Callithrix jacchus: one gene and its partner. The protein of the gene in region 2 purifies or fractionates together with the protein of the main gene of each other region. This does not show direct contact. Links are inferred from orthologs where the notes say so. Each region holds a gene or a part of one and is shown on either strand. Other genes may lie near its edges.

Evidence for each region. Proteins that work in one complex are often made in the same cells at the same time.
Region 1: the proteins of CDH8 (region 2) and CTNNB1 purify together in Homo sapiens (co-immunoprecipitation; 3 studies listed by BioGRID and IntAct, counting the BioPlex papers as one, with this or other methods). This does not show direct contact. The link is inferred for Callithrix jacchus from reciprocal best matches to the Homo sapiens genes CDH8 and CTNNB1.

What each region holds. Positions count from the first base shown.
Region 1 is NC_133518.1:78,994,208-78,997,952, forward strand, and holds the start of CTNNB1 (catenin beta-1), read left to right. Parts: upstream 1-1,461; 5' UTR 1,462-1,492; coding exon of another isoform or gene 1,493-2,129; exon of another isoform or gene 2,130-2,349; intron 2,350-3,745. Other genes in the region: uncharacterized protein LOC144579968, read right to left, coding at 559-1,430, 1,493-2,129. UniProt on the Homo sapiens protein: Key downstream component of the canonical Wnt signaling pathway.
Region 2 is NC_133521.1:19,763,114-19,766,858, forward strand, and holds the start of CDH8 (cadherin-8), read right to left. Parts: upstream 2,424-3,745; 5' UTR 2,066-2,423; intron 1-2,065. UniProt on the Homo sapiens protein: Cadherins are calcium-dependent cell adhesion proteins. They preferentially interact with themselves in a homophilic manner in connecting cells; cadherins may thus contribute to the sorting of heterogeneous cell types.

The DNA.
Region 1 (3,745 bases), on a different chromosome or scaffold from region 2:
GGCATTACCATTTATATAGTAAAATATCTTTAAGACAAAAATAAAAGTTATTTCAAGAATATGCTGTCCCTGAAACATGAGCTATGCCTTAAACTACATATCCTACCTCCATGAGTGAATACGTAAGTGGGTTTCCTGCCAGCATGTATGTGTAAAGACCTATTGTTTGCATGTATTAATTGCGGTCCTGGGATAAAAGCACAGACGTAACTTTCACTGCTGCTTTTTGTACTCTCTCCAATGTTTTGGAGGAAAAATAAGCACAAACAATAGAATAGAGAAAGTGAAGCGATCGTAATTGTTGCAGCTTTGACAAACGCCAATTTTGCTGCATTACAATGGGAAACATTTTTCAGCCTATCAAAATTAATTAAAAAACGTTTTTAAAGTCAGTTAAAAATATTAGAGGCTGTCTAATCGATCGCTTTTTCTATAAACATACTTTGGTTTCTCAAGTAATACCGTAAAAACCTTCTTCTCCAAAGAAAAAATCCCCACAAATAAATCTATTGATACCTAGTGACAAGTGGAACCAGATAAAAATGGAATCTATAATAATTAAGCTAATGGACAGTGCTCCGGAGCGAATCCATTTCCACTAGTTACTTGCTCACAGTAGGTACTCAGAAGGACTTGTTGAACTGCGGGCTTGGCGCCCATTCTCCGGGAGTTCACAGCCCTCGCGAGCGGGATCGAGGGCGGCTTGGCCCGGTGATTCAGGTCGAAACTCAAGCTGAGCCGCCCGCTGCGGGGGGGGACCCACCATCCGGACAGTGGGGGGCCTCTGGGTGCCGCGAGACTGGGCTGCCAGCCAGGTCCAGCAGGGAGTGCGCGGCACAGACCGCAAGGTCGTAAGGCCCCGACACCCGCGCCGGGCCGGGAGTCCGCAGACTGGCGACGGGGCAGCGGCGGCGGCGGCGGCGCCCAGGAGCGCCCCGAACTTCCGCCCTCCGAGGACCCGTCCCGCCCGCCCCGCGCGGCCCCCGAGGGCCGGGGCCGAGGAGCCACCTTCCGCAGGCCGCGGGAAAGGCGCGCCGAGTCCTGCAGCTGCTCTCCCGGCTCGGGAAACGCGCGGGGCGGGGGCGTCGGGCTTGGGACGGGGGAGGAGACGGGGCCACCTTCCCTCACCCAGGCCTGCAGGGGCCCGGCCTCCCCGACGCAGACCACGGCGCCCTCCGGGGCCGCCCTCCGGTCCCGCGCAGCAGGCAGCCGCCAGCCTGCGCCCGGGGAGCGTCCGTGGGGAGCGTCCGCGGCGAGCGCGGCCCCCGCCCCGACCCGGAGCGCTCTCACGGCGGCGCACTGCCGGGCCGCGCACGGCTGGCGGCGCGGGACTACTTTCCCCCGCCCTCTCGCGCCCCGCCCCGTGTCCTCGCGCGGCGGAACGCTCCGCGCGGTGCCGGCGGCGGCAGGATACAGCGGCTTCCGCGCGACTTATAAGAGCTCCTTGTGCGGCGCCATTTTAAGTCTCTCGGTCTGTGGCAGCCGCGGTAGCCCGGCCCCGGGAGCGGAGAGCGAGGGGAGGCGGAGACGGAGGAAGGTCCGACGAGCAGCCTCAGTGCCCGCCGAGCCGCCACCGCAGGTCGAGGACGGTTGGACTCCCGCGGCGGGAGGAGCCTGTTCCCCTGAGGTGCTTGGGCGCTCCTTTCCTTATCCTTCCGGGGCTGCTCCCGCTTCCTCTCGGAGCCAAACTTCGTCGCAGGCGCGCGGTCCGGGCGGCGGGCTGGGAGCCGGGCCGGGCACAGCCCGGAGGCCTGGGGTGGGGAGCGGGGGTTCGGGTGGGGGACGGCGGGGGCGGGACGCGCCCGGGGCGCGGAGGGCGGTGGCCGGGCCCGGGTTCCGGTCGCGCTGCCCCTCAGGGGCCCCGGGGGCATCGCTTGCAGGGAGGGGGTGCCGCGGGGTCGCGTCCAGGAGCCCGGATGGCCGGCGGGTGGGAGTGGGGGTGGGGGTCTGTGGTTTCTGTGCGGGGCTCCGGCCTTGGCCGAGTTTGGGGGAGGGACCCTGTGCCTCGGGATGCGCTGGGGCCCGGGGTGGGGTGGGGGGCGGGGTGGGGACCGGGGGCTCCGCCTTTTCAGCTCCTGCGGCGAGTTGGGGTTCGGGGGCTCAGGCCGGAGCGCCACCCTAAGTCCCATCTGTCCTGGGGATCCGCCGAGTGGACTTTCTCTTAAGATTTCGGAAGAATAGAAGTGTTAATTTTATTATTATTAATTTTTGGTAATGCCCTGCCTGTGTGAGTTTGAATCGAAGCAACTTTAAACCTTAGAGTAAACTCTGAGTGCGGTCGGTGCGATGCGTCAGTAGGGTGTGCACGTAGAAAATCCGTGTCTTGCACTATTTTAGCGTACCGTGCAGGTGAGTGAAAGCGGTGGATAAAGTAGGGGAGTCTTCTGGGTTTATGGTAGTGGGCATGAGACCCTAGTGAAACAAGGGGGTGGAGGAAGGGCGAAGGTGATGGCTCACTGTTTGTTACCACGTAAACTGCAGGATTCGGCCTCTGACTCGGACCGCTTCGAGGATTTTGTTCGTTTGAAATAATTTAAATTTATTCAAATAGTTTGATGGCAGCTAAACTTGATTTTTAGAGCACGTTTTCTTTTCAGCGGAGTGAATGAAATTTTCCTTCTTTGCAAAACGGCCAAATGCAATTCAAGCAGTTGAAACTTCTCTGTTTTGTCTGGAGAGAGGACTTTGAACCGAGACTTTTCGAAGTTGAGTTCCTATAGCCCGCTTCTGAATCTGCCAAGCTGGAAAGCTTTGGCACTGGGTGTAGTTGTTCCCTTCGTTCTGTTCCCTTGTGGAGGGACATTGTCTCATACTTTGTATCTTGCAGACATCTGTGGTCTCCCCCGTCCCCGGCCCCCCACCCCTCGAGTTTGTGAGTGGTGAATGAAGAAAGACCAGGCTGCTGGTATGCAGAGGTCGGCAAAAGGAAATCGAGGAGTGGTTTTAGTGCAATGAGAGCTTTGTATCGTGAATAATGGTGGCTTAGGCTTGAAGGGACGGCAGCATTTCCTTTGGTAATGTCTACGCTAATGTTTTTCAGATCGCTAAGTTGTAAAGTAGTTTGTCTGGAATTTAGGAAGCCATTTCAGTGTTTGTCACTTGGTGAACGAACATTCAGTACCTTCAGATGTCTTCGTGTCGATCGATTTGTATTCATCCTGAGAAATAGTAAATATAGCCTGAAGTGTTATTTATATTACTATCCGCTTAAATTGTTGACATAAATTTCTACTTTGGAGTCGTTTCGTTTGAACTAAGGCTGCTGCGACATTTATTTTACTTTTATATTTAAATCTTTGAAAAATCTCTGATTAAAAAAAAGTACCTTTAAGGGTTTGAGGATGTCCTTTCACACCAGACAAAATTTAGTTAATTTGCGCCCAATATTCATTAATTTGACCTAACCTTTGTTCTGAAGGCCATGTACAAGGACAAGGCCCTGAGATTATTGCAACAATAACTTGAAAAACTTTCAGAAGTCTTTTCTGTAGGATTAAAGGAATGCTGAAACTATTCAAGTCTGAAGTCCTGGGGGTGGGGAGAAGTAAAAACCTGTGCTAGAGAGCTTAGTATAGCATGTAACTTTAGAGTCCTCAGGAGTCGTGAGTCTCCCACAGACCAGAGCAACCATTTAAAAGTTTTCAGGAGAAAACAACTTAAAAAAAAAATAAGGCGGCTAATAAAAAATGAAGCATTTAACAGTGTTCAGGTTTCAGAGTATCGAGGGGTTTTTAAAACTGTTACT
Region 2 (3,745 bases):
AAAAAAAAAAAAAAAAAAAAAAAACATGTCTGGACTTGATTACGGAGAACTCCCTTTAAATCGAGGGTGGGGGGCGGGGGGGATGTAACCCTAAGAGAACATCCTTCAAAGGTATCACTTCTCTCGGTAAAAGAACCCCAGTCCTAGTCCCCACCTCATACTTCTCTCTCAAATACACACACACACACACACACACACACACACACACGAAGAAATCCCTGCAACGCTGGACACAGCTGCTGCGAAGCAATATCTAGGCAGGGATTTTAGTGGTATTTAGCATGAACGACAGGGCTCACTTTGCATGCAGTGAGCTGCAGCAGCGAGGCTGAATGGATGGAAAATCCCACTTTCTAATCTTACATAAACATCATTCCCACATATAGTTTTCCAGTTGAAAAGCGCCTATAATGAAGCCGGAGGTGACAGCCCAGGGAGGGTTTTTAACCATTGAGATGGCTGTCAGGAGTGCCGTAAAGACGACAGGAGCTTCAAAAGGGCCCCAGCCAACCCCCATCCCTCCTATCTGCTTCGCGATAGTGCCGGATGCGAGAGGACAGTACCCTCGCATACCTTCCCTAGCGTCTCCCCGTTCCCATTGTCAGCCCACAAATACCGTGACTTAGGGTGAAAGAAAGAAGCTGATCTGATTAGCAGCTCGGGCGCGCTAAGGGATTGCCGGATCATGCCTCCTAAGGAGGAAACTCTTGTGGAATCTTCAGGAAAGGGTGGTAAAGTTGAAAGGACCTTTTCTCCCTCCCGCTGTCTTGGTGATAAGCTCTATCGTTTAATTGGAGCTGAAGTGAGCAGCTACCAGCCTGATTTTTCATTACGGACTAATGTGCGTTTGCAACAATAAACAATTAATGTTGTTTGATTTTTTTACATTCAGCAACCCAAGCAAACAGCTGCCATCTCCGCTCGTGGAGACAAACGGCTAGTCCTTGACGTGCCGCCGGCTTAGTGCCTGCAGCGGAAGGGTCAACCGCAAGGAAACTTTGAGGATTCCGCCAGATTGGGTTGGGGGAGGCTCTCGTGTCGGGGAGGAAGAAGCGGAGGAAATTGTGGATACCTGTTGGCATCAGCGTTGGCGGCGACAGGTTTTTACTGTTTTCTAGCCTTGGCTGGAGCCTGGGAGAACGGGAGTAGGTCCCTTATGAACCTGTTACGTACTGGCAGAACCCAGGCAAGAGCTTTTTTTCCTCCGGTCCTGCGAGGGGCGTGACGAGCCCCCCAGGGGTTCTCGGAGGAGAAGCCGTCAGATCACAGAAAGCTCAGCTCTAGGTTCAGCGGTCCCTAGCATAGGGGCTACGGAGTCCTCGACTCAGGGGGGCCTCCGTGCGTGCAATCTCTCGAGCTTGGGGAAGACAGTGCATGGGGGTCCTGCAGGGGTTCTGGGCAGCGTCTTGGCGAGGGCAGAGCCTCGGGGCGGCTCCGGAGCCCGGCAAGTTTGCAGCGGGCACCGCGCCTCGCAGAGCTGAAGCTGCCACTTGTGGGAAAGCCTCGCGCTGGGGCTTTCGCAGCTGAGTCTTAGCCCGCAGCCCTTCTGCGGGGGTCGCCCTCCCTTGCCTGGGAGAAGAGGCGGTGCAGAAACCCAGCGATAGGACACTCGGGCTCCCTCGCCTCCTTTTTTTCTCTGGCTTGCACCCTCCGCACAGCGGGCGGCGGGTGCTTCCCATTCACCGCACGGACCCCGCAGTGAAGGCGCGCCGCTACAGCCGCGCCTGCCCGCGTTGGGAGGAGGCGAAATAGCCGGGTACCCGCAGGGAAGGAAACTGGCAGGAAAACTGGAGGGGCACAGCCTAGAGCTTGCTACTCTCCAGGATCTGTTGTCAGAGCAGTTTGCAAAAACAGTCAGGCAAAACCCTGAGGCGTACGCATCACCCACGGATATCGCGAAAGGCACAGTTTAGCCCCGAGCCTGTGGTAGGAACCCGCATCCAACATCTGAGAGGCAGGAGGCGCGCAAGGAGTCCGAAGGGGCATGGAAATTCCTAAAAGAAACGATCCGTTCTGGATCGTCGGGACAGAGAGAAAAACCGGGGTGGGTTGACGGAACACTTACTCTTGCCGGGCCCTGCGGTGGCGATGTCAAGCCTCCTGGTTCACAAATGGCTGGAGGGGCTCGGGGTCAGCTCTCGAGGGCAGCAAGTGCCGACCGGTCCCTGCGCGCTGGGCAGGCGCCTCCGGATTCCGTTCATGCCTCTCGGAGCTGCAGGGCTTGGTGCTGAGACGCGGGGCGGGCGCGCTGGTCTCTGGGTGTCTGCAGCCCAAAGTGCAGCTGGTGGCTTGATGCTACCATCTACGCACAAACCGGCGGCGGCGGCGGAGCTTGGAGAAAGCAGGGAGATTCCAAATAAATCCACTAATTCTGGGCTGAGCGCTCCGGCGTGCGAGCCCGCCTGCCTGCCAAATGTAACTGTGAAGTGATGTGGAAAAGTGAGCCGGGTGCCTCCCCTGACGGATCTCATTGGGCAGAGCGCAGAGGCAGGTCTACCACTTGGAAATTCATGCAAGCAATCCCCCTCCCCGCCCCCTCCCCGCCTTCCCCCTTCACTCTCCTGCGCTGGCTCGCTCGTTCTCTTTCCCCCTACCCAAGTGGGCGCACAACTTTTCGCTCCTCGCTCCCGATCACGCCCCGCGCGTCTCCGCCGCCAGAGCCACGGGGTGAAGATGCGCCCTTCCGTGCTGTGCGCGCAGCCGGCAGAGGGCCGAGCTCCGGCATAAGGGGGCTGGCAGACCATAACAGCCTGCGGAGGAGGTACCCGCGAGCTTTCTCTCTAAAGGTCTCACCTGAGCCCTGGGACTGGCGTTATCTTGAAAAGCGTCTCAGTGACCCGCAGCTATTTTCCGTAGGAGAAAGTGGACGCGACAGGGCAAAGGGTTGCACGTGGGCAGCTTACCTCCTCTTTATTCCAGGGGCCTCTTGCATGCAGAATAGGATGATTGTGAGACCCCTGCCTGCAACTCAGACGCTACGGTTTAAAGGCTGTATGTCGCGGTCCTGTGACGGAGCGCATAGCTGTCCCCGTGCTTCTTTGGGAAAAGGGGATAAGGGACAGCAGAGGGGCAGCCAGGAGGGGCGTGAAGCAATTGGTTGTGGGGAGGGGGGAGGCAAAGCAGAACTTGCTTGGGAAATAAGGGGAGGAATTACTAGGTTTTCTCAATGTGCCCCGTTCTCCTCATATCCTCTCAGGTACCATCCTTGCAGCTCTCCTGCCTCCAGCAAGAGCTGCCCTGTCTGTGGCCACTTCAAGTCTTCTGAGGGGCTGTGCTCAGATCTTGAGAAATGGCCACCCTGAGGTAAAGCCAGTGCAAGAAGAAGGGATCATGAATCAGAAGGTCCAGATTTCTCTTTTTTCAACACTGGGGTTAACATGTAGACAATGCCACTGCGATCATCTTTTAATAAAATTAGCTAAATATAAGACAAATTAATTCTTACCTGTTTGTTTGTTTTTAACCCTCCCCTCCAGGGGAGATCCCGCTTTAGTCCCTTCCCTGTGTGCACTAGACGTAAGCCCTGAGGGTGGATTTTACCATCTGGGAACAGAGCTGGAACAGAAGGGGGAAAGGGTGCAGGGGACCAGTCGCACGGTCTGTAGAGCTTGTACTGTCTGACTCAAATTAATGAAAGTGAACAGAATGAGAAAATAGGCACAATATGCTTATGATATTTATGCAAATTTGACATTTTTTTTGTGTGTGTGCTGCATCTAACATTCCATTGTGAAATGTTAAAAAG